Linked DNA regions of Rhinolophus ferrumequinum. The protein of the gene in region 1 interacts with the protein of each later gene in a pairwise test. Links are inferred from orthologs where the notes say so. Each region holds a gene or a part of one and is shown in the gene's direction. Other genes may lie near its edges.

Region 1 (7,155 bases):
TTTGTGACAGCAGGACTGGATTTATAATCCTATTGTTCTTTTAGAAAGCAAGCAGAAGTAGAACCATAAGCCTTTTCCTCTTGAGAATTACAATATTTTGCTATTTTTTTGTGTATATTTTTGTAGGCAAATATCCTTTCATTCAACAAATATTTACCTAACATGTTACACAGAGCTTTCATTCTAGGAGATAATAAACAAAAATATATAACATATTCTATAGCAAACTGTTTAAGAAAAACACAGCAGGATAAGTGTGAGAGGGTGGTGGGGTACATTTGTATAGTTCTCAGAGAAAGACCTTTGTGATAGTGTGAGATTTGGACAGAATCGTAAAGAAATGATAGTTTGAGCTAAGTAGGTACCAAGAGGAAGAGTATTCCTCTTGGACCGAAGGATAGTGCAAAGGTCCTGAGACAGAGACATGCCTGATATATTGGAGGAAAAGGGAGGATAGAGTTGTGGGAAAAATGAGCAAGTAAAACGTCTTTGGATATGAAACCAGAGGTAATAGGGATGGGGGAAGTTTACACAGGGCCTTGTAGACTATGGTAAGAGCTTTAGCTTTTATTCTGAGTGAAATGGGAAGCCACATGTAGGTTTTTAGATAGGTGTTTAGGATAAAGGTGTAGGCTGGAGATTCTGGGTTTCATTTAGCCAGAGATCTAAATGGGATTGCCGAGGGGGAGAGAACAAGTAGTTCAAGTTGTGAGATTTGAAACTTGGGGCTCTCCAGCATTTAGAGGCTGGAAAATGAGGAGGAACCAGCAAGGAGAATAAGAACAGCCATTTAGGAAGGAAGAAAATCAAGAGGGAAATAGTGTGTAATCCTGGCAGGTAAAATAAAGCACTTCAGAAAGAAAAGAGTTAAGTTATCAGTTCTTTCAAATGCTGCTGACAGGTGAAGTAAGACAGAGTAATAAAAATTGGATTTAAGAATATGGAGGCTACTGCTGTTCCTGAGCAGTTTCAATGGAGTGTAGGTTCAAGAGAGAGGAGCAGAAGTGGAGATGAAGATTTTCTGTAGAGGAGAGCAGATCACAGCAATGGGGTAATATTTGGAGGAGTTCCATGTCAAGTTTTTTTGTTTTGTTGTTTAAAGATGCTTTAAAAGCATGTTTATAAATTGACCAAAGTGATCCAGTTGCAAGGGAAACAATAAGGAAAGTGGACAATTACAAGAGTAAAATGGAACTCAAGGCAAAAGTGGCAAGTTAGGTCTTAATTTTGACATTTTAGCCATAGTTACTGGAGTATAGCAGTGTATTCAGATGTAGGAAGGTTGGTAGGTGCAGTGGTGGAAGGCAGAAGCTATTACTGATTTCTGATTTCCCCTATTTTCTAGATAAGAAAACAATGACTTATGAGTGAGGAGGGGGCCTGTATAGTCAAGAAGAAAGATAGTAAATAACTGTCTCAGAGGGCAAGGAAATTAGTCTGAGGGGGTAAGAATACTGAGGAGTTCACTTCAGAGTTATCACTGCTGCGTATTTTTCTTCAGCCAAGTTGAACTGCTCTGACGGAAGCATACACTGAATCAACCAGGGTTGTGATTTAGGCAGGTGAAATGCAGGAAGAGAGAAGGAAAGGATTGATGGTATTTGCAAAGGAGAATTTGTAACAACGGATACTGGAATCTAAAGTAGGCAATGAGTTTTTTAAAAATGGGTATAACATATAGATGTGTCCTTTAGGAAAACTCTATTCTCATTATTTGAAGTAGTTATGTTTTATAAAGTCACGATGAACACTAAACTGCTCCTAGGGGAAACACAGGGTTAGGTTCCTGAGAGACTCTGGTCACATTTTTGTCAACCAATCAATACATCACCTTGTTTTATGCGTTTCTATTTAGATACCTTATTTTACATTGTTGATTTATTAACACTGAACTCATGGCCAAGATCACTAATGATAAGCTTGAAGGGAGCTTTTCTAGGACACGTTTTCTCCGCAAGGCACATCCCAGCTTTCCTGTGCTTACGAATTACCAGACAGCACTGCAGCACTGCTTGGGGGGTAAGGGGACGGTAGTGCTTAAGACAACACAATCACCAATAAACAGCACAAAAAAAGGTGAAAAACATGACATTATATATATTATGAAAATCGCATTTGATTATAGTATGCGAGGTGAAACAAAGCTGAGGATAGCCTTGTTTAACCTCAGCTGAGAATGTGTCAGGCAAGTTAGATTTTTTTGCTACTCTGTGAATATTCATGAATGCTGCATGCATTAATTTTCAGGGTTACAAATAAATTTTAGTGAGTAGTCGAACTCATGAACATGGAATCTGTGAATAATGAGGACTACATTGCCTGGAACTGTTTCCTCCATAGCTCAGTCCAGTTTGCTGCTTTTGATCAAATGATACGTATCAATTTCAGCACACATCTGATCATCAAATAAAAAATTAGTAACACATTTTGCTGCCAGTTTTCAAAGTTTCTGCATACGATCAATATATTACTTTTTGTACCTTTCTAATCGGATGTCTCCTGTCTTCAAAGTATTTGTTACAAGCGTTAGAAATTACACATAAGACTTTGGGTGGCTTTTTTTTTTCTCATTTCAGTCACTGAAAGTTCTTTTCTAGTTACCGACAGCTTAAGTAGGCATTTACTAGTCCTCACAAACAGCAATAATCTTAACATGTGGCTGGTGGGTGTGATAAATAAAGTTAATGTAATTTATTTTTTTCAATCAACCGTGATTTCAGGGCCCTTTCCCCACATCGTTCCATCTCTTCATTAGGTCCAGCAATATTGTTATTTGTTGGATACCAAATAAATCAGTTATTTTTTTGATAGTTTTTTGGAGGAGTCTTGTTTCTTCTCTTTCCTATTCTGCCTCTTTCTTTTATGTAAATAGTTGTATATTTGCTTTATACTAAAATGTTTTTTACTAATGTTGCAAGGAGCAGAAAAAATAATTATCTGAATACCACCAACCTCAAGGAAAACTTAATTTTTTATACACTTGACAGTTTTTCCATTCCCATCTGGCAATGTTACTATTGTGCCTGTAGCAGTCTATAAAATTCGATTTGTAGCATTTTCATTGAACACAACCTAGGCCTTGATTCGCACGCCAAACCTCCAAATGAATTTCCTTTCACCATAGGACTTCAACAAGGAAGAGGAACTAGACGAAAAATGGGAAATAAAGAGAGGTTGGAGAGGGCACGGCTGGGCGTGGAAAATCTTAAACAAGGATAAGGCGGTCCAACCCTTTTTCCAAGTCACCCATCCCCCTGAGTCTCCGGGCTCATCCAATATTTTAATTCACTGTGCCCAGCGGCGCTCCCAGCTCGGTTCAGGAACCTCCACCTTAGAGCTGCGCAAGCACAAGGCCTTGTCGCATTGGGCACAGTATCCCTAAATCCTTCACATTCGTCTTTGCTGGCTTCTGGAGCTGTGACTTACTTCTAACATGCCGCCGCGCGGGCTCCAAGCAGCCCTTGCCCGTCGCAGGTCGGTGGCGCCTTAAGCGTCCAGTTTGAGGCTGGTGTCCAGGCCCGGCTTCCGCCTCCAGAGAGCTGGCCTAAAGGAGCAGTCGCGCGCTCCCTACCTGCCTGAGGGCAGCTTCCGTTGATGCTCACAGAGGAAGCTCCACGGTAACCATCCGCCTCCCGGTCGCCTAACTAGAGGTTTGCGACCACCTCGCCCGAGCCCGAAGGGGCGGGGGCCGGCGGCCGGAGCGCTCCCCCCAGGGCACCCTACCCCACCCCCGCCCACGCCTCGGCGCACGCGCAGCAGCCGCAGCCTCCCTTATTTAGTCCGAGATGGCTTCTCTCGCGCCCCACCGTCCTCCTCCCGAAGGCGGCTCCCTCCCGGCGCACCCCGGGGCCCCTGGGACCAGCCTCGAGCGGGTTCCCAGGCAGGACTCTCCCTAAACTGGAACGGCGGTGGCCGGACGTGAGCGTGAAGAAAAGCAGCGGTAACCGGAAAGAGCTGACGGGTCGCGAGGCCGGGAGCCAGGCCTCAGAGGAAGAGGAAGGCCGGGGCGAGCCGAGGTTTGCCGAAGGCGGCGTTCCGGAGCTGAGCGGGGCGGGGAGGAGGACCGAGGGTGGGAGAGGAGGGGCGCGGCGGAAACTGCCGAGGTTTGCCGAAGGCCGCAGCCTCCGAGTTGCCCGGATGTAGTTGGTGGAGCGGCAGCGGCGGCACCAGCGGCGGCGGCGGCGGCAGGAGGAGGAGAAGGGCCAGGCAGCGGCGGCGGCGGGGGGAGGAGGGGAGGAGGCGGCGGAGCAAGAGGAGGAGAAGGCGGAGGAGGCAGTCGCTCTCCGCGGGGCTGGGCCGGGCGCGTCTTCTTGCCCCCCTCCCCCCGGTTCGCCGCTGCCGCCGTATAGTTGGCGCCGCTGCCCGGACTGAGAGTGAGCGTGGTGTGGACGGAGGGAGATGGCCCGGGAGCGCCGGCGCCAGTAACGGGGAGGTGCTGAGAGTCGCCGAGGGCGCGCCGGGCCCTGGTGCCGGTGCTGCCGCCCGCCCGCCGCCTGCGCGCCCGCCTGCCCGCCTCTCGCGGCCACTCTCCCCCCTCCCCCGACACACACTCACAGGCCGGGCATTGATGGTAATGTATGCGAGGAAACAGCAGAGACTCAGTGATGGGTAAATTGGCTTTTCGTTTCGGGCCGGGCCGCGGCGGGGGCGGGGGGCGGCGGCGGCGGCAGCGGCGGCGGGGGGGCTGTTCCTCCTTATCTGTGCGGGCTGAGCCGCCATTTTTGTTGTTAACCCTGATCCGGATCGGGCTGGGGAGGAGGAGCGGCCGCGCGGGCAGGCGAGGCCCGAGTGAGTGGGGAGGGAGCGGAGGGCCGGTTCGCGGCGTTTCGCCCTCGTTACCGCCTTTAAGCGGCGAGTGTCTGTGTGCGGGCTCAGTGCCGCTTCGTTTGGTAGGTTCCCCGCGGGGAGGGGCGCTGGGGGGGCACCCGTTTTCTTCCCCCCCCCCGAGATGTTTCATGTCGCTGTCTCTCTTCCTGTTTTTCAGCTGTCACGACCGGAGGGGGGACTCGCAGCCTTACCAGGTACCAGCCGAGACCGGGGTGGAGGGGTGGATGGGGGACGGAGGGGGAAGGGAGGACCTGCTGCTACTCGAGCGCAGGCTTCAGAAGTCGCTGCAGGCCCTTTGGTGCAACAAACCCGAAACAAGCACCACGGGTTCTCTTAAAATGTTGTGTTTGGGTCCATTAGCGCTCCCCAACAAGGTTTAGTTACTTATTTTGACAGGTGACTGGAGGAAGGTCAGTTGTGTTAGAAAAAAATCATTCTCAGCCAGGAAAGACCTTACTCGATTATTTGGGTGTCTAAAGAATCGATAGGGTGAGGTGACAGGTGATTTCTGAACCGTATTTATTGTATTGGGGAACTAAAAGTTAAAGTATTAAAATTAGATGAAAGGTCTGGGAAGAAACAACTAGTTGATTTGTAATTCTTAAGTGTGTTGTAAACCACTATCCCCTCTCAATTGTTTTTTGTGCAAATAATTGCCTTACTAGTGAAAGATAGTGGATTTGCTTCTGTAGGAATTGAGATCTTTGGATACTTGGATAATTCATTCTTATGTAAGAGGGTTTTAGGTATTTGGGTTCCTTTTTATTGCAGTTGTTGCATGTAAAGTTTTAAAAAATTGATACAGGTGGTGCCTCTTTTCAGGGGGCGAATCTCTTAAGTGGTTAATTATCAGATAACCCTAGCAGTGAATACTTTCTGCATCTAATTACTTTATTAGTGATTAGGAGAGCAGGTTTCTAAGCTGATCTTTTAACTGGCTAGCATGAGTTAAAGCTCAAGTTAGAAACCCTAGGTCCCTTGATGTGTAAAACAGTTTCATTATAGTTGGATATGTCAAAGATTAAACCCTAGTGAATCTGCTCCCCTAAAAAACATAATTACACATTGTAAAAGACTGGTATATCGTGGTCGTCTTAAATATGTGTTAGAATAAAACTAAACCATTATTGTGAAGGGGTTGCATTAAGTTTCATTTACATTAGAAATGTTACGTTAGAAATATCAGCCAACATTTTTTGTATACCTTAAAATTGTTTTACACCTGTAAGAATAGGTAAGATATGTTTGAAATGATTTATTTGAATAAAAGATTGGAGAAACGGATGCTTCTGTAGGTTTGCAGAAACATGCTTAAGCTCATTATATTTGTGTCTTTGCATCAGTTGTAGAGCAGAAATAGACTACAGTAGTACTCAGTTTCTACTTTTCTTTAGGTTAAACTTTATTGAAAACTTTATTGAGGAATTAATGCACCAAAGTGTTTGGTTTTATGTATTTACAAGATACTTTATAGACTGGATTTTTGTACTTTTCGATTTTTTTTTACATGGTATTATGATTTGTATCAGGAGTGTTATAATAATTTAGGCTTGTAGGTCTTGTCTGAATACCTTAAATGCACAATTGAAAATGGAAATTTTAATTTTATTGATACAAATTCATAAAACTTCATGAAGTTAAAAAGCCAGATTTTGTGATAAAATTAATTTAGGAAGCAACGTTTACAGTTTCAATTTTTTCTCTTCTTTGGGGGGGTGATGTTTTACAGGCACTTAAGTATTCATCGAAGAGTCACCCCAGTAGCGGTGATCACAGACATGAGAAAATGCGAGACGCCGCAGATCCTTCACCACCAAATAAAATGTTGCGGAGATCTGATAGTCCTGAAAACAAATATAGTGATGGCACAGGTCACAGTAAGGCCAAAAATGTGCATATTCACAGAGTTAGAGAGAGGGATGGTGGTGAGTAGCTTTTTTGTTGAAACTTTAAAAATACTTTTATTTTTAATAATAGCTCTGTATAAAACAGTAGGTGGAAATAACATTTCTAATGTGTGGATGTTGCCATATAATTATGTCATCAAAATATTTTACTTCTGTCAATTTACTTGATTCCTGAAGAAGTTATTGTATAAATAAGATGCTGACCTGAGCATCTAAAAATGGACTCCAACGACTGATAATAGAATGCATTTATGAATATAGTCTACGAAATGCTTTACTAATGATGAGAGAAACTCAGGACATTTTTCTAAGAAAGGAACTTGCACCTTTTCAAGTAAAGGTTTTAGTTTATTTGGCTTAATTTATTTTGAGATCCGTGTTGCAGCTCAAATTTACTTTTTAAGGGCCTCATCTTATTGAT
Region 2 (7,811 bases), on another chromosome or scaffold:
CCCAGCAAGCTGTGCTCTTGTGAGGTCAGGAGCTATAGTCATCTGTGACCTAGATAAGATGGGCTTATTTATTTCACAAGGGACCACTGAGAAGCCCTGGGGAGGAGAGGGATGGCAAATGCTGGGCATTGTAGCTGCTGCTGGTCCGGGGCTCTGCCAGCACTAAACACCATATTCTACTCTACTGCTTAAGCAAGGAACTACTTTAGGTTGAGCTGATTCACTATTATTCAGATTTCAAGAGCTGGAGGCAGTGTAGCCTGCGTTAGACCACAGTGAGGAGAGGCAGTGTAGTGCAGCAGTATGAATACAGACTCTGGGATCAGACAGACCAAGTTCCTGCTTCTGCCATTTAATTAGCTGTGTGATCTTCAGCAAGTCACCAGCTCCTGTGAGCCTTGGTTTTCTCATCTGGAGAACAGAAGAACGAAAGTATGTGCCTCGTAATTATGAGGATTAAAGGAAATAATAAATGCATCTAAAGCACTTAGCCTGGCATATAGTAAGTGCTTAATAAATATTAGCTATTACAGTGGAATATTGTGATATGAAATGCCCTAAAATCTGGCCTATTCCTCACCAACCCCATGTTCCTGAAGTTTACATATCTTACCTCCAAAAGAGCTAATGATAAAGTGACTAATTAAGTCTCAGATCCAATCTGTAAGGGTGAAATTTAGGGAATCAATAATGTAGTTAAACTTAGCTAGTTTGCAGTTTAACTTACCGCATAGCTCACTATCCAGCCACCTGTAATTACACTTACTTTGTTTGCAGTTTGATCCATCCTGATATTCAGCTGTTTTCTCCTTGTTTCTCCCCTCACTGATTAGCTGAAGAACTCTGATTGTTCCCTTTCTCAAGGCTACCCATACCTCCTTAATCCATTTAATCAACAGAATCCCAACCTGGAAAGGGCAATTTCTTAATCCTCAGGTGCCCGGACACCGGAATCCAATTGACAACTCCCTCGCAGTTTTTACTGGTGACGCATTCAAGTCCCAGGCCTCGATGGCCGCGTCCCAGTCCGGAGATAACATTGTCTTCAAACAGACCAGACCCCAGGAAGGATGTCAGCCCTCGAACCTGCCTAACCGACTTCCCCTTTCCTATATAAGAAAAAGCTAACCTGAAGTTAGGAGCAGCTGCCCACTCTCAGATTCTAGACTCTGCCCCATGACACACACCCCACCTCCACCGCCACCACGCTGGTGTTTCTCTTCTGACAACCTGTGGCAGCAATCATTTTTGGACACTGCCATGGGCATTCTCTCTGTGCCCTAACTTCAATAAAAACTTCCTTTGTAGTAGAGTCTGTGAATGCTTTCACGTTTTGTGAATGCCCAGGGGTTAATTACACGCCACGACACAATCAACATTTTCCGGAGGCATTTTTCAGTTTAAAGAAGGAAAGCTAGATAGATAGATGATTGATAGATAGATATGAGTATAGAAAAATATATATATTTCCTAGCTCTTCCCATCGCAAAGTCCTAGAAGCAAAAACACCTCAGTAAGCAGCAAGCACACTAAGCATTCAGAACTTCTCCTTAAATAGCTGTCACCACTTAAAAGAGAAATCAGGACTCCTTGGAGTAAAATAAGAATTCATGAATCCACATAAGAATAAATAATTTCGTAATGTGATATACAGTAAGTTCTTTCTTAAAGTAGAATGCCAACTAATAAATGTGGAAAGAATAATGGAGTTTTTTTTTAAAAAATCACCATACTGTAACCACCATAGTATAACTGAATCAAGCCAGAATTATCTGTGAAGACTAAAACTCAGACAACATTTGACAAGGGATAGGATATTTATATAATCTCGAAGTTTCTCCCCTACAAATTATGTATTACTTTCCAAGGGAAATACAGAAACTTTACAGTGATAGAACCTGGTCACCACAACTTTAACCAGAGGATCAAAGTAAACATCCCCAATAAGGGGCAAAGTGACATAGTGTGTCTCCTGATGTGATACACTTCTTAGTGGGACATAATACACTTCTGTGGATTCCTGCCCCCAATGCAAAACTTGAATCTGATTGAGGAAACATCAAATAAAGTCAAATTGAGAGACAGTATACAACTGACCTGTACTCTTAAAAATGCCAAGGTCATGAAAGACAAGAGGAGGAGCCATTCCAGATTAAAGGAGCCTAAATAGGCATGCAATACATGATCCTTGATTGGATCTGGACCAGGAAAAAAAAAGAAAATTCCATAATGGACAGTGTTAGGAAAATTGGATAAACTGAACATGAATTGTAGACCACATAATAGAATTAAATCAAAGTCAAATTTCCTGGTTTTGGTAATTGAAATATGAGTAAGAAAATGTCCTTCATTTAAGGAAATACACAGTATAACAGGGATGAAAAATGGCTCACAAAAGTGTCTAAGTCCTAATACCTGGAACTTGTAATGTATGTTACCCTATATGGAAGGACTTCGCAGATGTGATTCAATTAAGAATTTTGATTTAGGGAGATTATCTGAATTATCCAGGCAGGCCCAATGTAATGACAAGGGTCTTTATAAGAGGGACACAGTAAGATCAGACAGAGAAGGAGATGTGATGACAGAACAGAGGGAGAAAAGGTGATGTGATTCGGAGCCATGAGCCAAGGAATGTAGGTAGCCTCTAGAAGCTGGAAAAGGCGAGGAAATGGATTCTCCTCTAGAGCTTCTAGAAGGAACGAGCCCTGCCAATACTTGGTTTTAGCGCTGTAAGACTCATTTTAGATTTCTGACTTCAAAAACTTTAAAAGAATAAACGTGTACTTGAAGTCACTAAGTTTGGGGTATAGGGATTCAGAATGAGTCACCCCAAGATGTGCCTCTATGGCACGCAGATTGTTTTGAGCTGAAGGCAACCTGTGGGCTCAAGAGAAACTTCTGCCCTTCCCACTTAACTACCTAGAACTTGAATTAGGGGCCTTGCCCATAATAAGAGATTATCAGAGATAACATTTTTTGACCAATCGGTAGGGCAGGGAAAACTTCTAATTACTGAAAATCTCTTCATCTGTCTCATCTCTAATTGATTATTAGACCAGCTGAAAAAACCCTGAGCGTAGAGGAAAGTTTCCTCCTCTCCCACAGGGATAGTGGTGAAGTTGGAGACAGGGGTATATGTTGTCTCTTTCTGCTAATCTGTGGTCCACCTGAACCAATGCACTTGGATAAACTACCTTCTACATCCCCTGGGGGCTTGCATCACCTGGGGGCTTGCTGAAATGCAGATTTTCAAGGTCCATACCAGGCCTAATGATTCAGTCTACAGTTTAACAAAATCCCCAGGTGATTCGAAGTCACAAGTCTACTTTGCCTTTATCATTGTAGAACTGCCCTTCCCAGAGAGTCGAATTATCAATTTTGCATTCCCAGGAAGCCTCTCTACTTCCAGTCCTTGGGTGGCTGTCACCCTTTCTGGAGGAAGCATCTGCTCCAAATTGCACATTTTCAACAATGGTCTCAATGAAATATGTTGATCTGACAGTTACTAAGACTTGATGCAAAGACAGCAGAGCCACAATAACAGTGCCACAATGTAAGGCCTGGAGAGGGAGGGGGCAAAGGGGACTTTTACAGCCCACTCCCGACCAACTCCGGGCACACTCACCAAGCGGGAGGGGGCTATATTTTGGAGTCTCCCAGAGCTCTTCAGAGGGTCTGAAGGGTCCCCTTGCCCATGGCCTTGCACACAGTAGGCAGAGCAATAAGCATGGAGAGTATCTTTGTTCACACTCTATTCCCAGTGCTAGGCACACAGTGTGTGCTCAGTAAATACTTCTTCATCTGCCAGGGCTCTGATGCTTGTGAGCCCACCCAGACAAGCTGTCATGCAGGGTGTCAGGCGGAGTCTCTGGTCCTGCTCCCCACATAAGAACACAGGAAATGGTGAGGCCAAAAAGGAACACCCACAGAGCCATAGATAGGGGAGTCATACCATTATATTCTCGCTGGTGGCTGGGTTGGAGACACAGGAAACAGGATCCACACGACCTGCAACCTGCTGTCCGCTTCTCTGTCAACCAACCAACCCCACTTGCTAGCTGCACTCCACCGTGCTAACTGCAATCCACTCTGACTAGCTCAGCCACCATCCTCTTGCTAGCCTCCATTTGCTGCTAGCGTAGCCACAGCAGTTATATTAGTGGCCAATGGCTCACTGGTTACAGCTGACGGCCAACTAGCCACAGCTGATGGCCATCCAATCGCAGTTGATGGCCATTTGCTAGCTGAGCCAGCACCTTTCCACGTGACGCGGAGAGCCTGGAAACTGCACTCCTGGCTCTGTCCCCACACAAGCTCATGGTCCCTTCAGTCAGTGCCCACTCTGGCACTTCCAGCGTTCAGTGAGGCATCTCCCGTCCAGTACTGCCTGCCCGGCACGTGAATTAAAACAGAACACTCCCGGGATATACTAGCAGAGTATTGGGCACAAGACCAGGCCAGGGAAAACTGCAATGGCTCTGACCTGGCAGAGGTTGGATGGCTTCCCGGAGGTGAGGGCACCTGAGCTGGTTCTAAAAGCCACCAAGCAGAAGTTACCAGCAAGTGCAAAGGTGTGAAGTCGTGAAAATACCGGGCCACAGAACTTGCAGTGATTGTCTCCGCTGGCCCCGGGGGGTTGTGGAGGGGTCTCCCCCCATTCACAGACAGAGCCCTTTGCGTCTCCTCTCCGCGACCCCGCCGCCCGCTTATCTCTCCCAGGGAGCGCGCGCCCACCTGTCCCGCTCCACTCCTGTTTTCAAGGCCCCTCCTTATAGCCTCATAGTTGCAAGTCTCTACTCACCTATCCTGGCACCCACTCGTATCCGCCGCGCGTTCTCGCCCTCGCTCCCGCGCTCCTCAGCTCACCCGCGCTCGAGCCCCCTCCTCTCTGCTGCGCGTCCCCCACGTCCCGACCCTCCACTCTCAGGTCACCAGCCCGTGCTCGCGTTTGTCTTTGCCGAGCGCCTCATTCCCACCCCAGGCAAGCGCGCTCGCTGCCTAGCGACGGGACACGACTCGCCGGTTGAGGGTAGGCGCGTGCGCCAGGCGTGCGTGTGACAGCGCAGGCGCCCTTTGGGAGACCGGGTCTTAGGGGTTGGCTGGGGTCTGGCTGCGCAGGCGGTTTGGGCCGTGGGACCTTGGCGTGGTGTAGGGCGCAGGCGGTGCCCAGGCTCCCCGAGCCCAGCGAGGGTTAGTTCAGCGCCGGGGGCTCCGCAGGCGCGTCTGGGGCGGTCTCCCTCCTCCTCCGCGGTGGGCGGCGTGCAGGGCGGCGAGCAGGGCGGCGAGCAGGGCGGCGTGCAGGGCGGCGAGCAGGGCGGCGAGCAGGGCGGCGTGCAGGGCGGCGTGCAGGGCGGCGAGCAGGGAGGCGTGGAGGGCGGCGTGGAGGGCGGCGAGCAGGGCGGCGTGGAGGGCGGCGTGCAGGGCGGCGTGCAGGGCGGCGTGCAGGGCGGCGTGCAGGGCGGCGTGGAGGGCGGCGTGCAGGGCGGCGAGCAGGGCGGCGTGGAGGGCGGCGTGCAGGGCGGCGAGCAGGGCGGCGTGGAGGGCGGCGTGCAGGGCGGCGTGCAGGGCGGCGAGCAGGGCGGCGTGCAGGGCGGCGTGCAGGGCGGCGAGCAGGGCGGCGTGCAGGGCGGCGTGCAGGGCGGCGAGCAGGGCGGCGTGCAGGGCGGCGTGCAGGGCGGCGAGCAGGGCGGCGTGCAGGGCGGCGTGCAGGGCGGCGTGCACCCGTCGGCCGACCGCGGGTGGGAAAGGGAACCCAAGCGCCCGCCCCGAATGGAGGATTGCCACATAAAATACGGGACGCCCAGTTAAATTTGCATTTCAGAGAAATAAGGCATAAGTTTGTAGTATAAGTATAGTATAATACAAAGTCGTTAGTTGTTTATCTGAAATTCAAATTTAACTGGGCATACTGTATTTTTATTTGCTGAATTTGGCCGCCTTGTCTGGATCGCCACCACTTCCCTACTACGCTGGCTGGCTTTCTCCCAGGCATGGGTGAGGGACCTCTCTCTGTTTCTTGTAACAACTTATCCATGCTTGAGGCAGTTGTTTCTGTGGGAAGGGGGGCTTTCTTAAATGAAAAAAAAAAAAAAAACATTGCTTACAACACCTTCGTGAGATGGGTATTATCACCATTTCATGGACAGGAAACATGCCAACCGAGGTAATGAGCCCTCTACTGGGTCCCCCTGATAATACCATGCAGGGTCCATAGATCTGAGACGAACCCTGGGTGAGGCCCTACCGTCAGGCCAGAGGTTTTCCTCTTAGGGACCACGGTCCTCTTCCCATGCATTATCTTTCTGGAGGAGCAACAGGAGCAATAAGATAGCCTTTTTTATCTTACATTGACAGATATCAATGTAGGTATTTTTGTCGTTAGAGTATATCCCATTGAAGAAATACAGTGAAGATATTGTGTTCCAACCACAGTTGTAATAATTCTTTTCTCTGTGTGGTTAAGACAACAACTCCAGCTTGTTAGGGAATCAGGTTTGTTTTTTCCAGTTTTTAGAGTTTTGGTTTTTATGATTCCATTTATCTATACACACATACGAGGTTGGGCAATTAAATTCTCGAACTTGTTGCAATGATGTTGCTAAACTAACCTTTTTTGATATCGGAGGGATTATTCATTATGAATTTGTACCAACTGGACAAACGGTTAACCAAGTTTACAATTTGGAAGTGCTGAAAAGGCTGCATGAAAAAGACGAAAACGACCTGAACTTTTCTCCAACAATACTTGCATCACGACAATGTACCACCTCACACGGAACTGTCTGTGAGGGAGCTTTCAGCCAGTAAACAAATAACTGTATTGGAACACCCTCCCTACTCACCTGATCTGGCCCCCAGTGACTTCTTTCTTTACCCAAAGATAAAGGAAATATTGAAAGGAAGACATTTTGATGACATTCACGACATCAAGGGTAATAGGACAACAGCTCTGATGGCCATTCCAGAAAAACAGTTCCAAAATTGCTTTGAAGGGTGATCTAGGCTCTAGTGTCAGTGCATAGCTTTCCAAGGGGAGTACTTCGAAGGTGACCGTAGTGATATTCAGCAATGAGAGCACTTTTTCTAGGATGAGTTTGTGAACTTAATTGTCCGACTTCGTACATACATATTCCTTTCCCCACTGCTGTTGCTAGTACAAAGGATGGCATACTATATACAGTTTTTGCACCTTGCTTTTTTCCCCCTTCATACTATGTCCTAGAGATCACTCTTTACTTTTAGAGATCTTCCTCATTCTCTTTTATATCTTCACAGTTATCCATTGTGTTGCTGTACCTCATCAATCCCTTCATGATGAACATTTGGGTGGTATTTCAGTATGGCTACTTCAGATTTTTGCAAGAAGGGATCCTAGAAGTGAGACTGATGGGTCAAAATTGATGTCATTTTCTAGGTATTGTGTAATTCCTCTCCATAGAGATTATACCATTTTGTACTCTTCACCACCATAGCATGAGAGAGAGCAGTATTGGGGTCTACAGGTGAATCTCATGAGGTCATTTTTTAAAAATTGAAGCATAGTTGGGATACGATATTATAATTTCAGGTGTATGATGTAGTGACTCAACATTTATATACCTTATAATGTGATCACCACACTAAGTCTAGTACTCATTTGTCACCGTACAAAGTTATCACAGTATTATTGACTATGTTTCCTTTCACCTTTTTCACCCATCCCCCCACTCCCCTCCCTTCTGGCAACCATCAGTTTGATCTCTTTATGAGTCTGTTTTCGTTTTGTTTTGTTTGTAGATTCCACATATAAATAAAACCATATGGTTTTT
Region 3 (7,917 bases), on another chromosome or scaffold:
ATAATCCATTCAACATTCAGCAAATAGCTACTAAGTACCTATTTGTACCTAGGTACAAGGGGTTCAGGGGTGAGCAAATCCACCAGGCCTCTCTACTTATGGAACTCACTTTCTGGGGATGAGTGGAGTGGGGGAGGAGACCGAAAACAAAAGGTAGACATGAATAGACAATTACTTTGAAGGAAATAAAGATATCAGGCTGCAGAGTTCAGATGTGGTCTGCTTCTGCTATCTCTGAGGATGTCACATATGAGCCAAGACCTGAATAATGTCAAGGATCCAACCTAAGATCTGGGGAAGAGTGTTCCTATTCAGCTAAAGGGGCCAGCAAGTGCAAAGGTCCTGAGGCAGAAACAACCTTAGCAAGTTTAGGGACAGAAGGCTTTGTCTTCTTCTTTAGGCTCACGTGGAGAGGAGGAGACAAGGCCTTGCATGCAGGCCCCTCAGGTTTCATAGAATGATGTCAGTCACCTCCCAGCTTTGATGATGGCACTTGGCCGGCCTCACAGACTGTGGCCTGTCCTTCTGAGCCTGTCAGGGAGTCGAGTCTTGCGTCTAGGGCCAGTGAGGCTGTCTCCAGGCTCTGGGCCACTTTTCCTCCCGCCTGGCATCTGCCTCCCCTGCCCTTCCTGCCGGCTGACCCACATCCTGGGCTCTTCACAGACGTGGAGCTCTGAGTGGCCCAGTCAGCCCCCCCAGGTCTTTGTCTCTGGGGATGTTTGCCTCCTAGGCGAGGGCAGGTAGGGTCTGGAAGCCACCCTTCTTTGTGGAGCTCTCTCCTGGGGTGAGTCATGGTCACTGTTATGTCCTTCATTCATTCAGAAATTACTTCTTTCAAAAACATCTCCTGCCAGGCTTTTATGTTTCAAACACTTTCTTTGCTGTGATTTTCTATAGTTATTTAATCAATTATTATTTTTTTATGAATGACTCTTTTTTTATGTTCTCTGCCTTTCTCTCTAATCCTTTCATGACGCTAAGAAGCTCAGGGGTAATTCAGGCTACAGCCCCTGACACACCCCCACCCCCGCCTCGCCCGCCCCCAGAACTGGAGGCTCCAGGCTGGCCTGGGGCCCCCACCCTCCTGAGGCCCCGGTTCTGGGTCTCTTTCTTGCAGCGGAAATCCTTAGTTGCGGCTTCTCAGCCTTGCTTTCCAAGGCCTGTGTGGAGGGTGTGGCCTCACCAAGGGGCAGTGAAGGTTGTGACCTCTAGGATGAGTGTCCACTCCATGGCCACCTCCCTCCAGCCAGGCCCTCGGGCGGCCCTGCTCGCTTGTCCTGGACCCTCTCAGACCCTCTCTCCTGGCCCCTGGTCCCACAGCCACCAGACCTGTGTCCTCAGGCTCCACAAGGCCTCCTTGGCCTGGGCGCCCCCTGAGCTCCACAGGCTGTGGAATCAGGCTCCCCCCTCGTGTGGCACTGGCTGGGGTCCTCAGTGGGGCCTCAGGAGCCAGAGGTGGCTTCCTGGCTACACCCACCTTGCCCACTGCTCACAGACCAGCCTGGGCCCAGAGGGTGAGTCTGCCCAGCGTGAACGTTGTGGGGAGGGGCTGGGATTGTCTGTTGTGAAGGCAGGTGCTTGGGGTCAGAGGCCAGGGTCAGCGACACCTGAGTTCTCCCTCTACCCCCACTCAGGCCGCCCCGGCCAGTGTTCAGAGTGCAGAGGGGGGAGTCCTCACAGAGCTTCTGGGCTCCTGCTGGGCCACGCCAGCGGATCAGGGAAGACCTGTGAGCACAGCTCCAGTCCTCAGACACCACTGGATGCGGTGCCTCCCCTGAGGCGCCACACCTGGCCAGCAGGTGAGAAGGAGGCCCTACCCCTCTCTCCCTAACACCCGAGGGCAGGAAGCTGGTGCAGCCTTTTTTTTTTTTTTAATTAGTTTCAGGTGTCCAAAACAATGTACTAGACATTTCCACCCCTCACAAAGTGATAACTCCCCTCCCCCAATCTACTGCCCCTCTGACATCGTGTAGCTGTTACAATTCCACGGACTCCATCTGTAGGTGACTGGACTAAGGAGCTGTCGTACATTTATACAATGGTACAGTGTTGTTTAAGGGCCGAGTCGCTTCAAGGCCAACTTTCCTGGGTAAGGCCAGCCAAGGAGAAGCACGCAGTCTCACAGTGCCCCTCCTTTTAAATGACTTTTGGGGGGGCTGAGGTGCAGTCAGGTGGGCAGGGCCGGCGGGGGAAGGGAGCTAACGCGGTTCTCTGGTCTCCGTGTGGATTTGAAGTATTAGGTTCAGTGTGGGCAGAATGCTCAGGATGAGGCACGTGGGAGGCGATTTCCTTCTTCTTTATGGAGTTTGATGAACTGTTTGAGAATTAATGTTTGTTCTTGGGAAGCAGGACATGTGTGAGTGACAAAGGTAAGTGTGTGGACACGCAGGAGAGCAGCGGGAAGCTGGGAGCCTCAGAAGGAGCCTGATGCAGTGTCCACCACACCCTGGACTGTCCCAAGGGACCAACGTGCCGAATGCCACAGGGACTGTCCTGCCGAGCTGTGAGTCTGGCCTGGGAAATAATGTCAAGCTGAAAGGAAGTGGTGGTGGGTGGGGAGGACAACACAAAAGCTCCCAGGGGTAGTGTGGGGTTTCCAGGAGGCCGGAAGGTTTGACAAGGCCGGGCTCAGAGGATGGGGGTGCTTCGCCCAAGGGGCTGGGCCTGGAAGCTGGGCGGCAGGGCTAATAACTGAGGGCCACCCAGGGGGAAGCTCTCTGAGGGTCGCTTCCCATGGATGGGCCGTGGGACACTTCTGTACAGGGAGTGCTGTCAAATTCCTTCCCTCATGGGTGTCATTCTCAGGCTTCTCCCACCGCCAGCCCACCTGCACGGTGAAGTGTGGAAGGAAGTGAGGTGGTCACTGCTGCAGGGGGATGAGCCCTGGCTGTTCACCTGGCCTCCGTCTAGTGGCCACAGCTCACACAGCCCCAGACACTGTTCGCTGCAGGAGACTGACGTTCTCAGGAGCAGAAGTTGTTTTCTAGAAGGTACGTACTTCCCCTGAAATCTGCAGAACCTAGACTACTCAGCACAGAGCAGTGACTCCATAAGCGCCTGAAAGACACTTTATGGGCTATTGTCACCAAACCTGTATGAATGCCCAAGACGTACATGACAAGATGCTCCAAACACTAGAGAAATGCAAATTACAATCACAGTAAGAGGCCATTACACACACACTAGACTGACTAAAGTTAAAAGACTGACATATCAGGTGTCACAGGGATATGAAGCAACTGGAAACCCCAGCCATTGCTGGTGGGGATGAAAAATGGTGTAGCCACTTTGAAAACAGTCTGGTAGTATCTTGTAAAACTAAACCTACTCTTACCACACAATCCAGCAATCCCACTCCTAGGTATTCATTCAAGAGAAATAAAAACTTATGTTCACACACAGACTGGTATGTAAATGGCCTTAGTAGTGTTATTCATAAATAACAAAAAATGGAAAGCAACCCAAATGTCCATCAACTGGTGAATAAATAAACAAAGTGTTCTATGCAATATTACTCAGCCATAAAAAGGAATGACATTAATATATGTAGCAACATGGACGAATCTCAAAAACATAAGAGAAACAAGTAAACACAAGACTACGTACTGTACAACTTCATTTATATGGAACTCTAGAAAAGGCAGAATTATAATAACAGAAACCAGATTCGCGGTTGCTTGGGTTGGGATAGGGGAAAGAGATGGACTGCAAGTGAGCGTTTTAGGGCGCAGGAATCTTCTGTCTTGATTGTGGTGGTGGTAACATAATTGTATATAATTACCAAAATGCACCAGCCTGCACACTTAAAATGGGTGAATTTTATTGTAGGTCAATAATAATTAAGTATAAATTTTAAGTAAAAAAACTCCACACCTAGATACATCATGGGTAGGCTTACGCAAACCAACAGTGAAAAGAAAAGTCTTCAAGGCAGCCAGATACACAACAGACAGAACAAAAATAACTACAGCTGTCTTCCCTTTAGAAACTCTGTAATCCAGAAGGGAATGGAGTAAAATCTTTAAAGTACCGAATGAAAGAAAACGACCAGAATTCTATAGTTGTTGACACGATCTTTCAAATGTGAAGGTGCAATATAGACTTTCAGACAAACAAAAGGTGAGGGCATTCATTGCCAGCTGACCTGTGCTAAAAGATTCAATAAAGGACGGTCTTCAGACAGGAGCCTGACACCAGATGGAAATTTCGATCTACACTAGCAATGAAGAGCATTGAAAATGGTGGGGGGGAGAAAAAGTAAATAGAAGCTATAAAGGTATGCATTAGAAGAACTAGGAACAGACCACACGCTTCCAGATTGCTAGAAGGCTTTCTGCAGTGCACCTGTGCGGGGTGGATGGAACACAGGTGGGACGGAAGCACAGACAACCTGGCACAACGAGCGCTGGCGCCACCGTTTGGCTCTCACCTCCCTGGGAGTTAGGGAGGCTGGCACACGCTGACCCTACTTTACAGGAACAGAAACGGTATCTCAGAGAAGACGAGTTCCTGCTGTACTTCACCAGGAAGCCGCATTAAGTAACAGGATTGGGCGTTTTCTATTCCGTGTTGTTTGAGTTAACTTGGTCCCCTTGGAATCTGTGAAACAGGCAGCACAAGTCTTGGAAGTGGCGTCGCTGTGAACCAGCCCTGGCGGTCCCCTCTAACACGCGGCGAGCACCTTCCTGCTCCCCGAGGCCGTTGGGAGGGTCCAGGGAGAGGACGCCACCAGCCCACTCGCAGCGAGGCAGTGGGCAGGGCAGACCCCCGCCCAGCGTGCGCGCGCAGCAGGCGGGCAGGGGGCGGAGCGCCGCGGCGCGTCCGTTGCTAAGGCCGCGCCGCCCTGGCGACCGAGCGCTCGCGGCCCCGCGCACGCGCCCTGACCGACTCCGGTGCACTGTGGGATGGAAACCCGAACGGCGCGTCTGGGCAGGAGCAGGCGGCGGCGGCGGGGCCGGAGCGGCGGGAGAGCGGGGCTTGGACTCGGCGGGCCGGCGGGAGCGCGGGCGGCGCCGCCATGAACGCGGCGGTGGTGAAGCGGACGCAGGAGGCTCTGGGGAAGGTGATTCGGAGGCCGCCGCTGACGGAGAAGCTGCTGAGCAAGCCCCCGTTCCGCTACCTGCACGACATCATCACGGAGGTGGGTGCGGCTCCCGGGTCGGGGCTCGGGTGCGGGGAGCGGGTCGGGACCGAGGGCGCGGGCGGGGTCAGGGTCGGGGCCGGAGTGAGGGCCAGGGGTCAGGGCCCAGGTGGGAGTCGGGGCCCAGGTGCGGGTCGCGGATGAGGGTTGTGGTGCGAGCCGGTATCAGGGCCCAGATGGGGGTCCCGGCCCTGGTGCGGGTCGAGGTCGGGGCCCAGGTGTGGGCTGGGGCCCGAATCAGGGCTAGCGTCAAGGTCGGGCCTCACGTAGCTGTGCGCAGCTCCTGCCCGGGAGCCTGCCTGGCCTGCGGCCCAAGGGGTGACCGTGGGCCCAAGTCGGTGATGCCTCTGCGAGGTGTTCATCACCCTCACCCCTGCTCTTCCTTCTCATCCATCCCTGCACCTCCTTTTCTGGGGAGTCTCCCGGCCCCTCTCAGGGAGCATTATATCTTTCCAGCCTACCTGTGTATCTGTTAGAGCACATACTCTGTTCTGCCTGCCAGAGCTGTTTTGTGGTTCTTTTCCTTCAGTGCCTAGCACGCCCCCTCCCCTCCAGGTTTTCCTCCGCAGGGCTCTGCACACTGGTCACCACATATTGGATGTTTAATGGACACCTGTGGTTGTAGGGGAACCGGAAAGGGAAACTATAGAAGAGCAGGTTAGTATCTGCTGATAAACGGCACAGCCTGCCTTCAGTTGAGATTGGTTGTTGACTTTTCCCCAGTGGAAGGTGAATTCCTCAATGACGGGGACCGTAACTGTTTTGTTGGCATGTCCCGGGTGGCACTGGGTACGGTACACAGAAGGGGCACAACAAACAGTCACTGTTGAGTGGAATCTGTCAAGGCTTCTGGCTCAGGGAGGCGGTGCCGGTTCCTATGGTGCATCTCAGGTGGGTATTGAACTTGGAAACTAGGGTGTACTCCTTGGGAGTTAGGAATCAGGCTGAGCTTGGAGACTGCCGGGGCTCCTGATCTCTCTCCACGGTGGTCCTCGAGCTTCATTTCTCACTCTTTCCAATAGGCTGGACACTTTACTCTTCCACAAACTTTGCTTTACTCATTTCTGTGATCTTAACTTAGTTTCTAATGTGTGCCTCTGTGTTAAAAACCCCAATTGTGCTGAAAACTTTCTGGAATCCCACCCACATCCCAAGGGCTGTCTGGCCTGGCCTCTTCCTCCTGCAGCTAGTCCCCAGCACTTCCAGCTGCTCTGGACAGTGTCTGCGGAAGGGACGTGGCTGTGTGGGGAGCCCAGTGGGTGCTGGGCCGCGTGCTGCGTCACCTCTGCCCTGTGCGGTAGGCAGGTAGCGTGCTCTAACCCAGGAGGGAACAGGTAGTCACCAGGACATGGGCCTGGCTGAGCACAGCGGCTGCCGCCACGGCCTCATGCTCTCATCTTCTGTGTTGGTCCTGTGAGCCCACTGAAAAGCGAGTCAGGAAGGGAGTGGGGGGACATGCCTCATCCTGTGGGACTTGGTGTGCTCTGGGCAGACATATTCGAATGCATTTTCAGATAATAGGTGGAGAGCCTTGTATGAAAATTCTTTACTGCCCCGGAGGGTTGTATTCAAGCCACCATCTTAGTATTTTAGCTACAGCTAAACCAACTTTGCCTCTTTCATGAATCAAAGCACTGGTCTTGTGACATCAGTATCTCTTGTCACTTAAAATTATTGCTGACAGTTTTAACTGCCAACGAACTGGGAAAACCTTGAAAGAAACAAGGGAAAAGTTGCCAGGAATATAAAGTGTAGGCTACTCTTAATATTCCACCTGTCTTCTCAGGAAAAATAGTAGCATAGCTCTTAATTAATTAAAAATAGTAGCCCAGCTCTTAGGTAGTTTGATGAGGAATGAAAGCTAGCTCAGTTCATAGCTTGCTGTAGCTTCGTCTCAGAGAAGCCTGCTATTAGCATGCGACTGTCCTCGTTTTTAAACACGGCTGGCAGTGATACATATGCTTTGTATCCACCCAGGACACACACATATACAGGTGTACTCATCCTTGCTACACACACTGCAGTCTGACTTTTCTTTCTGTTTCATTTGAAAAACAAAAATGCTGTTGCTACCCACTGTGTTGACCTGTCACATTTTGAAAAGCTCTGGTCTGAGAGAAGCCAGGACCCTGACTGTGTGTGGGGGTGGGGAGGAATGAGGAAATCACCACCCCAAAAGCTAGTTTTGGGGGTCATGGGGAGGTCCAGGTTGACTGAGGGGAGAGAGCAGAAGCGATGTGGCTCTGAGCACCCCTGTCCTAGGACGTGGGGAACAGTGGAGGAGAAAGACCTTTCCGTCCCGTGTCAGAAACCCGCGCTGAGCTGTTCCTTTTCTTCCCAGAATCCATTCTCTCCACTAGGCCTGAGTGGCCCTTGTAAGGTGCTGTCCCTGCTCTCGAACGTCTCAGGGCCTCGTGTGGTCCTTAGGCTAAGTCCGTATTCCTGAATGGCTTCGAAGGCCTTCTGGGTGAGGCCCCCGCCTGACTCTGGCCGGTTCCTCCTGCCCCAAACGCCTTATGACCCCTTGAACAGGACCCTCTTGGCCCTGGACCTTTCGGGGGCTGTTTGGCCTGGCACGCTCTTCCTCGGTACCCCCTCCCCCAACTCTTCTCCTGAAGCCTCTGCTCTCAGTTTATATATGATTTCTTCTGGGATGCTCCCTGACACCCCTCGCCCTCCTGAGTTTGGATTCGGGATGGATCGTGTGCTCTCTTAGTGCTCTGCAAATCTTTGTAGCGTCTACCTGTCCCCACAGCCGGCTGGGTCCCGCCTGGCGC
Region 4 (7,687 bases), on another chromosome or scaffold:
TCGGTGTCCATGGCAGACATTGTTAATCAATCACTGAAAATTTTCTACCAAATTAGGAAGCTGCTTCTGAATTCTTCTCAGCAAAACATTGTAAACAGCACTGCCAATCAACTGGAGTTGGCAGTCAAAGTAAATCTTACTTGCCATCATTGGGTCAGAAGATCCCCAAGGGTTCTTTTAATTCTAATACCACATATTAGGCTAAAATGAAAGTCCATGGTATAGTAAATGCCAGTAAACAAATATCTTGGCAAATTTTATTTCCCTTTTTTATATGCCAGCCTCAAGAATGTTAAAGGCTTTGTTTGCAAGCCTTGCCCGTGAGGATGCTCTGCTCTTCCATCATTGCATCTTGCTTTCTGTTTGCCCCAAATGAGAAGAATTTAACTGATTTCCCCCCAAATTCTAAAAATGTGTACTAGAAAAACTTGAACAATGCAGGAAAGTACAAATAAAGTGAAAATTATCTGATATTTGACACCCGTTATCAATATTTGGTAACCAGCCTCGAAGGCATAGCTCTAGGTATACCGTGTTTCCCTGAAAATAAGACCTAGCCGGACTATCAGCTCTAAAGCCTCTTTTGGAGCAAAAATTAATATAAGACCCAGTCTTATAATAATAAGACCAGGTATAATATAATATAATATAATATAATACAATATAATAATATAAAATAATATAATATAATATTGGGTATAATATTGGGTATAATATAATATAAATAATATAATACCGGGTATTATATAATATAGTTTAAGGCCAGGTCTTATATTAAATTTTGCTCCAAAAGACACATTAGAGCTAATGGTCCGGCTAGGTCTCGTTTTCGGGAAACACGGTGTTTTTTGTGTGTCTGTGCACTCTATTTTCCCCACACAGTGATGTTATGTCTCAGCCACTTTGCACATCACTCCAATGCTGTAGTTCTTAGTCTCTACTTGATGTATTCATAAAATTCCATCTTTGTCTAGGGGCCCCTATTCCACTTTGCAAATATAGCAATAGATTAAAAGGGCAAAGGATTTTTAGACCCTTACCACAACCACACTTAAAGGTCTGATCAAATTCTCCAGGTTCCACTCTAGTAGGTACAGAATAGAAAGATTTCCAAAGCTTATGGTTAAAATTCAATTTGAAAATGAAGTGGACCCAGTAGCTTGGGAGAAAAGCTTAATACCCCCCTTACACTCCTACCCCCACTTCTGTTTTGCTTATTATTATAAAAGTAATATATGTTTATTTAGGAAAATGCAGGTTTATTTATTTAGGCAAAATGAGGAAAATAAAATCATCACTAATCAGAACAACTATGTTTACCATTTTTGAGCATATATGTTCAGTATTTTTTTCCTGTGCATATATATTTAAATAGATGTCAACACATATCATTCAGAAGCACTCTTTTAAACTTCTGGGTGTTTTTCTTTACTCATTGCACTGTGGCTCCTGCAGAGCACGTTTCTCTTATGAGCAGGAAACTACAAGCTAAAACTGGCTTTGGAGATTGATAGCTCTTTGTGTCAGTAGTTTGCATAATGAGATGTGCACACCAAGGAACCAAGGTTATGGGTGTGTTTTGAAATTAATACACTAATTGTGTTGAACACTGCTATACTGGAGTTCAGTTTATCCACTATGCACGCTGCTCCTGAAGTTCAAATTCCCTCAGCAGATATTCAGAAAGTATCTTACAAAACTGGTATAAATGAGGTTATGTCAGGGCCAGAATCTCTGTATGCATTTATTCCTCCATCTACTTAATTGCTGAAATGTCTGTGTTCCTTAAGTGTATTTTGATAAGGAGAAGATCTCACCAACATCCATCTAATGGTATGATACTGACGCATGCTGTGATGAGGTGATTTACTTTGTATGTAGCAACAAGCATATATTATAGGAAAGATACCTTCCTCATTCACAGGGAAGTCAGTTTGCTTCTGAGGGTTTGCAAAGTACTAGTCCTATATGTGCTCCCAGTAATGGTTAACAAACAAAAAGCAGCCAGGAGAAATCTTGATATTCAATACACACTGTTTTGGTTATCTATTGCTGTGAAACAAGCCACAGCAAAACTTAGTGCTTGAAAACTATTATAATCTCTCACACACAGTTCTTTATGTTCCCTAGGCTTAGCCAGGCAGGCTTCTGTGGGTCTCCTTAGAGTCTTTATATGTGGTTGCAGTCAGATAGCAGCTGGGGCTGCAGTCCTCTAGGGCTTGACTAGGTGGACTGGAAGGTCCAGAATGGTTTCTTCACTCACCCATCTGATGCCTTGGTTCATATAGCCTCTCTCTCTGCTTGGAGTCTCATCCCCCAGTGCTTTTCCCCATGGCTTCTCTCCCCATGAACATAGTCAGACTTCTTATGTGATGGCTGACTTCTAAGAGTATAAAATTAAGGAGACCTGACAGTGTGTCATTTCCAGCCTCCTTCCATAAGTTAAAGCAAATCAGAGGGCCAGCCTTGATTCAGTGTCAGGAGATTACATCGGTATCAGAAGGCTGATTCCTTAGGTGCCATCTTTAAAAACCAGCTACTTGAAATGCTCCAACTGTAAGTTGAACAAATTTACAATTTCAGCTATAATTCCAATAGAATCTCGGTATTTCCTAGCTCAAACATGGATTACAATTAAGGAGAAGTGAAAAGAAGAGTGAAGAAAACTCAAGATGGGGAAGGATTTTGAAACAGTAGGTACTTTCTTGGGCCTTACAAAGTTGGCAGCTTAGATCAAGGAAAAGAAAGTGAAATAAATTGGTCATTGCATTACCATTATCCAAACTGTGGGCTCAGAAGGCTTACTTGATGATGCTTAATTTTTATGAGAACTCTAGAGCAAAGTATTGCAATATTGACACATTTCAAGCATATACGGAGGGTTGTCTTTCCAAAGACATCAAAGAATTCAGACATCAATGTACAAGGATCAGTAGAATGTGAAACCAATTGAGGGGAAAAAATAAAGCAGTAGCTAGGAGAGCCTGGCAGTAAAAAGGGCTCCCATGGCACCAGGACAGGAGAGAAAAACCAGCATCATCTTTCCAGTTCTTCTGGAGCTTCTCAACATGTTGAATCTGTGCACCCACAGCACAATATATAAGTTTGGAAGGCAAGGCCTAACATAAAGACAATCTTGTTTCAATGTCTGCAAAGACTGGGAAACTGCTTTATGTGGCGGCTATGAGACTGGGGTTCCCTTTTCTTACGCCAAATAGCTTTTCCCTAGTGTTTATTTTTCTTAAACATGTTCAGACTCTTATCATATTGTTCTACTCCCTTTGAAAATATGTACTCTGCAGGTGCCTAAAATAATATACTCCCAGCAATTTCACTTCTGTAAAAGTAAAGGTTATTTCATTGAGTCTAAACTCAATGGCAATTTGTTGCTCAAGGAGGAAATACCAAACACTTTACAAACTCCTTGAGGGCAGCAGCCATGTTATATATGCCTTTGTTATCTCCTACCTCCTCGGCTCATTGTCTACCTTCTCCAATGTAGTAGTTTCAATACGTAACTCCAATTGTTAACAATATACTTTGCCCTTCTTTGATGCAGAAATGTCATTTCATTATATCTCTGCCTGTTTCATGTCAGGTTCATTGTAAATAATTTCTCCTGTTTGTTTTCAGTGTGCAGATTATTTTGCAGGCTTTTCACATAGCAGCTAAAAAGGTTTAATTCAAGTTGAAGAAACTTGCTTCCATTACAAGCAATTAATGTAGGCTTCACTTACCCCAAGGACTATTTGAACATATAAATTTACAGATAAATCCTGGGAGTGTCAAATTATGCAACCATGAGAAAGTAAGTTCTTTGGGCGTTGATCTGCTATAGCCAAGGGGCTGTGTGTGTGGTTTTTGAATGAAATAGTAAAACCACTGCTGGCATCACTGCTGGCATCACACCTGGTTTTGCATAATTCCAAGAAGCTAAAATCTGAAAACCAGTATTGTGAAAGAGTTATGTTAATGCGTAAGAGAAAATAATTTATCAATTCTTTTTTAAATCTTGTAAGATTTCACAGTATTCCTGTTTTCAAGAACCTGAAGTTTTCTGTGGGTAGTGATTGATTTTTAAGTAATTGTTTTTCATGTAAAACGTTAATACATTGTAAATTGAAAACATTTAAAATAACAAAGATAAAAATCATTCATGAGCCTACAACTACTACTATTTGGTGGACAACTTGGAATTCTTTTTCTAGGCACATGTTTTTACAACAGTGATCCATACTATACAAACTACTTTATAACTTTGTTTTATTTTTAAATTCATCGTGAGTACCTGAAAAGAAACTTGTCAAGATTATGGCATGTCCTAGTACTGCACAGTGTTAAAGGACGCCATCTGTGCTATCGTGTGTGTGCGTTGGTGGGAAAATGAAGCTGTTGTTGCCTCCTCTCCAACCAAAAGAGACTTCTTCGTTTGCCCTTGGCGTCCTGAGCTTAGCGAGAATGCAGGCGCGTGGGAGTAAGTGGAGGGCGTTCAGGGTGACCGCGAGCACGAGCTCCCCGCGCGGTCCACACTTCCCCTGGGCAAGTCCCGGATGGGACCGAGGGCGAGAGGGCAGCTCACGGTGCTCGGGGCCGGGTCCAAGCCTTTAGCCCCCGTCCCCCGGGCTGGCGCCACTCTCGGGCGGTGGGGTGAGATAAAGCGGGGCAAGGTTCTGCAACTCCAAATCAGGGCGGCGCAGCTCCGATACCAGCGCCTTTGCCGGGGCTCTAGGAGTGTTTGTTCCAACTGTTTAAACTGTCTCAAAGCGCCCGAACCCGAGCGACCTTCGGCAAACAACTGCTAATCTCGCGGGCGGAGAGTGTTGGCTTTATGTGCGGATAGGGTACATCGAGCGCGGGGACCCGGGAGCTAAAGCAGCCCTCCTCCCGGCACCACCCCCCCCCGCAGCCGCCCACTGGGACCCCCGCTCACGGCCCTTTCCCGCCCCAGGACCGCGAGCTTCTTGCGTCAGCCGGGGCGGGGGTGGGGGATTTTCGGCACCTCCTCCCGCGGCCAGTCAGGGAAGGAAAGGCCCGGGCTCTTGCCCCGCCTTCGGGGGGCGGGAGGCGTGTCGGGGCAGGAGCCCGGCCGGCTGTTCGGGCCGTGTCGGCGAGAAGCGAGTGCCCGAGAGCCCGCCGTCGCCGCAGCCGCTGCCGCTGTCAGTGCCGCCTGGTCCGCAGCGCGTCTCGGCAGCCAGGACAGGGCCGCCGCCGTCGGGGAGCCCCAGAGCACAGTCCCTAACTCAGCATGATGGACTTGGAGCTGCCGCCGCCAGGACTGCCGTCCCAGCAGGTGCTGCCCGGCCCTCAGGGCCCCGCTGTGGTACCAGGACGGGGCCAGGGGCGCGAGGGAGCCGCGGCCCGGCACGGACAGCCACAGCCGGCTTCTCCTCCCGTCTGTGGCCGGAGCCTGGAGTGCAGCGGCCGCGCACTGGAGTCGCTGCGCTTGCGCCGGGGCGGGGTGGGGCGGGGATCGGGAGCGGGGACCCAAGGGGCGGTGAGGGGAGTAGGGGCGCAACGGGGTGGTCAGACCGACAACTTGACTGCGGCCTCAGAAGGCGACTGGCTGGGGCTTGGGATTACGCCCGCGTGCGTGCGTGGGTGAACGGGAATCTCTAGCTGCGTCCCCGGCCACCAGGTTGGGACCCAGGAGCCCCATTAGGCCCCCCGAGTTTGAGCGGCCCCAGAGGCTGCAGGGTAGGAGGGGGCGGACGCTGGCGGTCTGAGCCGGCGCGGCCCGGCCCTTCCGGGGCCGCGCGTCTCCCCCGCCTTGGAGCCGGCAAAAATGTGCCTAGTCACGGGGCCACTCTCGGGGGAGCTGAGGTCCCCTCCGGGCTGGGACCCGGAACCCCTCCTCTGCCGCCGCTGACCCCGGCCCCACAACCTGCGCGGTCTGCGGCACTGCGTGCTCATCCTGCTGGGCCGTCTAAGGGTGTTCCTTTGCAAAATAATCTGTCTGTTCGTCGGATCACTCTCTGAGGCAGTTTGGCGAGAAAGCCCTGCCCCTAGGTGGGGGACGGAGGAGGTCCCCAAGTGCCCGGAGCGCTCGAATGCCCCGACGTGCGGCGGCCGAAGTGGGCCTCGCGCAGTTGGAAAGGTTCAGGCTCTGAGAACCCGGGATCCCCTCTCAACGCGCAGGGAAGAGTGGGTGGGGCTGAGGACCGCAACCGGACTTGTCGATTCCCGCGGGATTCCTCCCCGTGGCGCGCGCCGCGTGCGTGGCCTTGGCCTCGGTGACAGTGGCTGGTTGGTTGTCACGGCGGCCCTTGGTTGGCCCTTTCCTGCTTTATAGCGTGCAAACCTTGCCGCGCCGAGGCCAAGGGACAAGTTGGAGCTGTTGATCTGTTGCGCAATTGTTATTTTTCCCCAGGGCGGCTTTGTCTTTGGATTTAGCATTTCAGAATTGCAATTCCAAAATGTGTAAGGCAGGATATTGTGTTTTGTGCTGTCAACGGTAAGTGTAGCGAGTGTACATTAGAATTGTTATTGCTTTTAGGCTGTTACTAAGTTTTTGGCTTTCATGTATTATTTCTCCTTTGGATGCTATGTATAATTTTCCTTTTCTGTTGAGAATTTGCCTCGATTTCTTAGCATGTTGCTTCTCTTGCAAGGGCAGAGAGAGGGTGAAACACCTGTGTTACATAATACTGTGCTATAAAGTTCTTTAAATTGTTGTAAAAGTGAAAATTTTCTATTCATACTTTGTAGGGACTTTTAAAGGAGTAGATATTTATATTTCCAATGTTTTGGTAATTGGGTTCTGAGGAAAAAATATTTGGTTCAAGGAAATGTATAACTTAATAAGTACAGTAAATATGTTTATGCTCATAAACCTAATGTTTTAGACTGATCCTGAAGATGTAAAATAAGGTTTTACGTCATTAGCAATGTATTAATTATGCTGCTTTTTTTTTGAAGCTGTTTACAGTCTTGAACTTTCCCCCAGTAATAATAGGGAATGTATTCCCCTGGTTTCCACCAGTATGAAGAAGTGTGCTTTTGGATTTACGAGCTGTTCAAGAGTAATCTATATAGCCATCTATATGACAAAAGGATATAAAATGCTAGTGACCTTTAGCTTTCCTAAATTCAGGAATTGTAACCTGAAGCTCTTCATTATTTTGTTTTTCCTTTTTCTTTTTTTACTATGTAATTTAACATTTCATATGCAGAAGTGCATAAGGCATATACACTGCTTTCTCATTTAAATGGGAATTTTTTCAGTTTTGTTTGGTAAGGTAACTCCTTTTCTGTCTTTGTAATCAGACATCAATAGTATACATTTGAAGACTATGGAAAAAGAAAATGGAGTAAAATTTAGAATTAATTTCATGCCTGTGATTCATATTAAATCATTGTTTGTAGTCTAGAAAGAGTTGAACAAAGAGTGGATTCTGTACTTTGGTCAGAGAAACTCCAGGTGTGATGTGGTACTAAGATCCTGGTTTTTACCTCTGTACAGAGAAGGTGTTCATGAACAGGTCAGTAAGGAGAGCCTTAGATTCTTTCTCCAACAGGTGGAAGGAACCATTAACTCTTTTCAAGGGTGTCTTGGAGAGATAAAGTACTTTGTGTATAAGAGATGAAGTTGATCTTGGACTACACAGATAAGATTATTTTTAAAAAGAAAAATGCAACAGATCTCTCATCTCCTGAATGACTATTAACCAAAGACCAACTTGACTTTTTG

Evidence for each region.
Region 2: the proteins of WAC (region 1) and DYDC1 interact in binary tests that used the Homo sapiens proteins (3 or more experiments, as listed by UniProt). The two-hybrid records come from large-scale screens. The link is inferred for Rhinolophus ferrumequinum from reciprocal best matches to the Homo sapiens genes WAC and DYDC1.
Region 3: the proteins of WAC (region 1) and TRAF3IP1 interact in a two-hybrid assay, tested with the Homo sapiens proteins (2 studies listed by BioGRID and IntAct). The link is inferred for Rhinolophus ferrumequinum from reciprocal best matches to the Homo sapiens genes WAC and TRAF3IP1.
Region 4: the proteins of WAC (region 1) and NFE2L2 interact in a two-hybrid assay, tested with the Homo sapiens proteins (2 studies listed by BioGRID and IntAct). The two-hybrid records come from large-scale screens. The link is inferred for Rhinolophus ferrumequinum from reciprocal best matches to the Homo sapiens genes WAC and NFE2L2.

Annotation. Positions count from the first base shown.
Region 1 is NC_046288.1:908,628-915,782, forward strand, and holds the start of WAC (WW domain-containing adapter protein with coiled-coil), read left to right. Parts: upstream 1-4,141; 5' UTR 4,142-4,567; coding exon 4,568-4,608; intron 4,609-4,806; exon of another isoform or gene 4,807-4,889; intron 4,890-4,984; coding exon 4,985-5,021; intron 5,022-6,538; coding exon 6,539-6,752; intron 6,753-7,155.
Region 2 is NC_046299.1:56,289,595-56,297,405, reverse strand, and holds the start of DYDC1 (DPY30 domain-containing protein 1), read left to right. Parts: upstream 1-4,810; 5' UTR 4,811-5,193; intron 5,194-7,811. UniProt on the Homo sapiens protein: Functions as part of axonemal radial spoke complexes that play an important part in the motility of sperm and cilia. Plays a crucial role during acrosome biogenesis.
Region 3 is NC_046291.1:2,181,414-2,189,330, reverse strand, and holds the start of TRAF3IP1 (TRAF3-interacting protein 1), read left to right. Parts: upstream 1-4,913; 5' UTR 4,914-5,017; coding exon 5,018-5,140; intron 5,141-7,917.
Region 4 is NC_046291.1:48,397,574-48,405,260, forward strand, and holds the start of NFE2L2 (nuclear factor erythroid 2-related factor 2), read left to right. Parts: upstream 1-4,685; 5' UTR 4,686-5,245; coding exon 5,246-5,290; intron 5,291-5,612; exon of another isoform or gene 5,613-5,635; intron 5,636-5,858; exon of another isoform or gene 5,859-6,451; intron 6,452-7,687.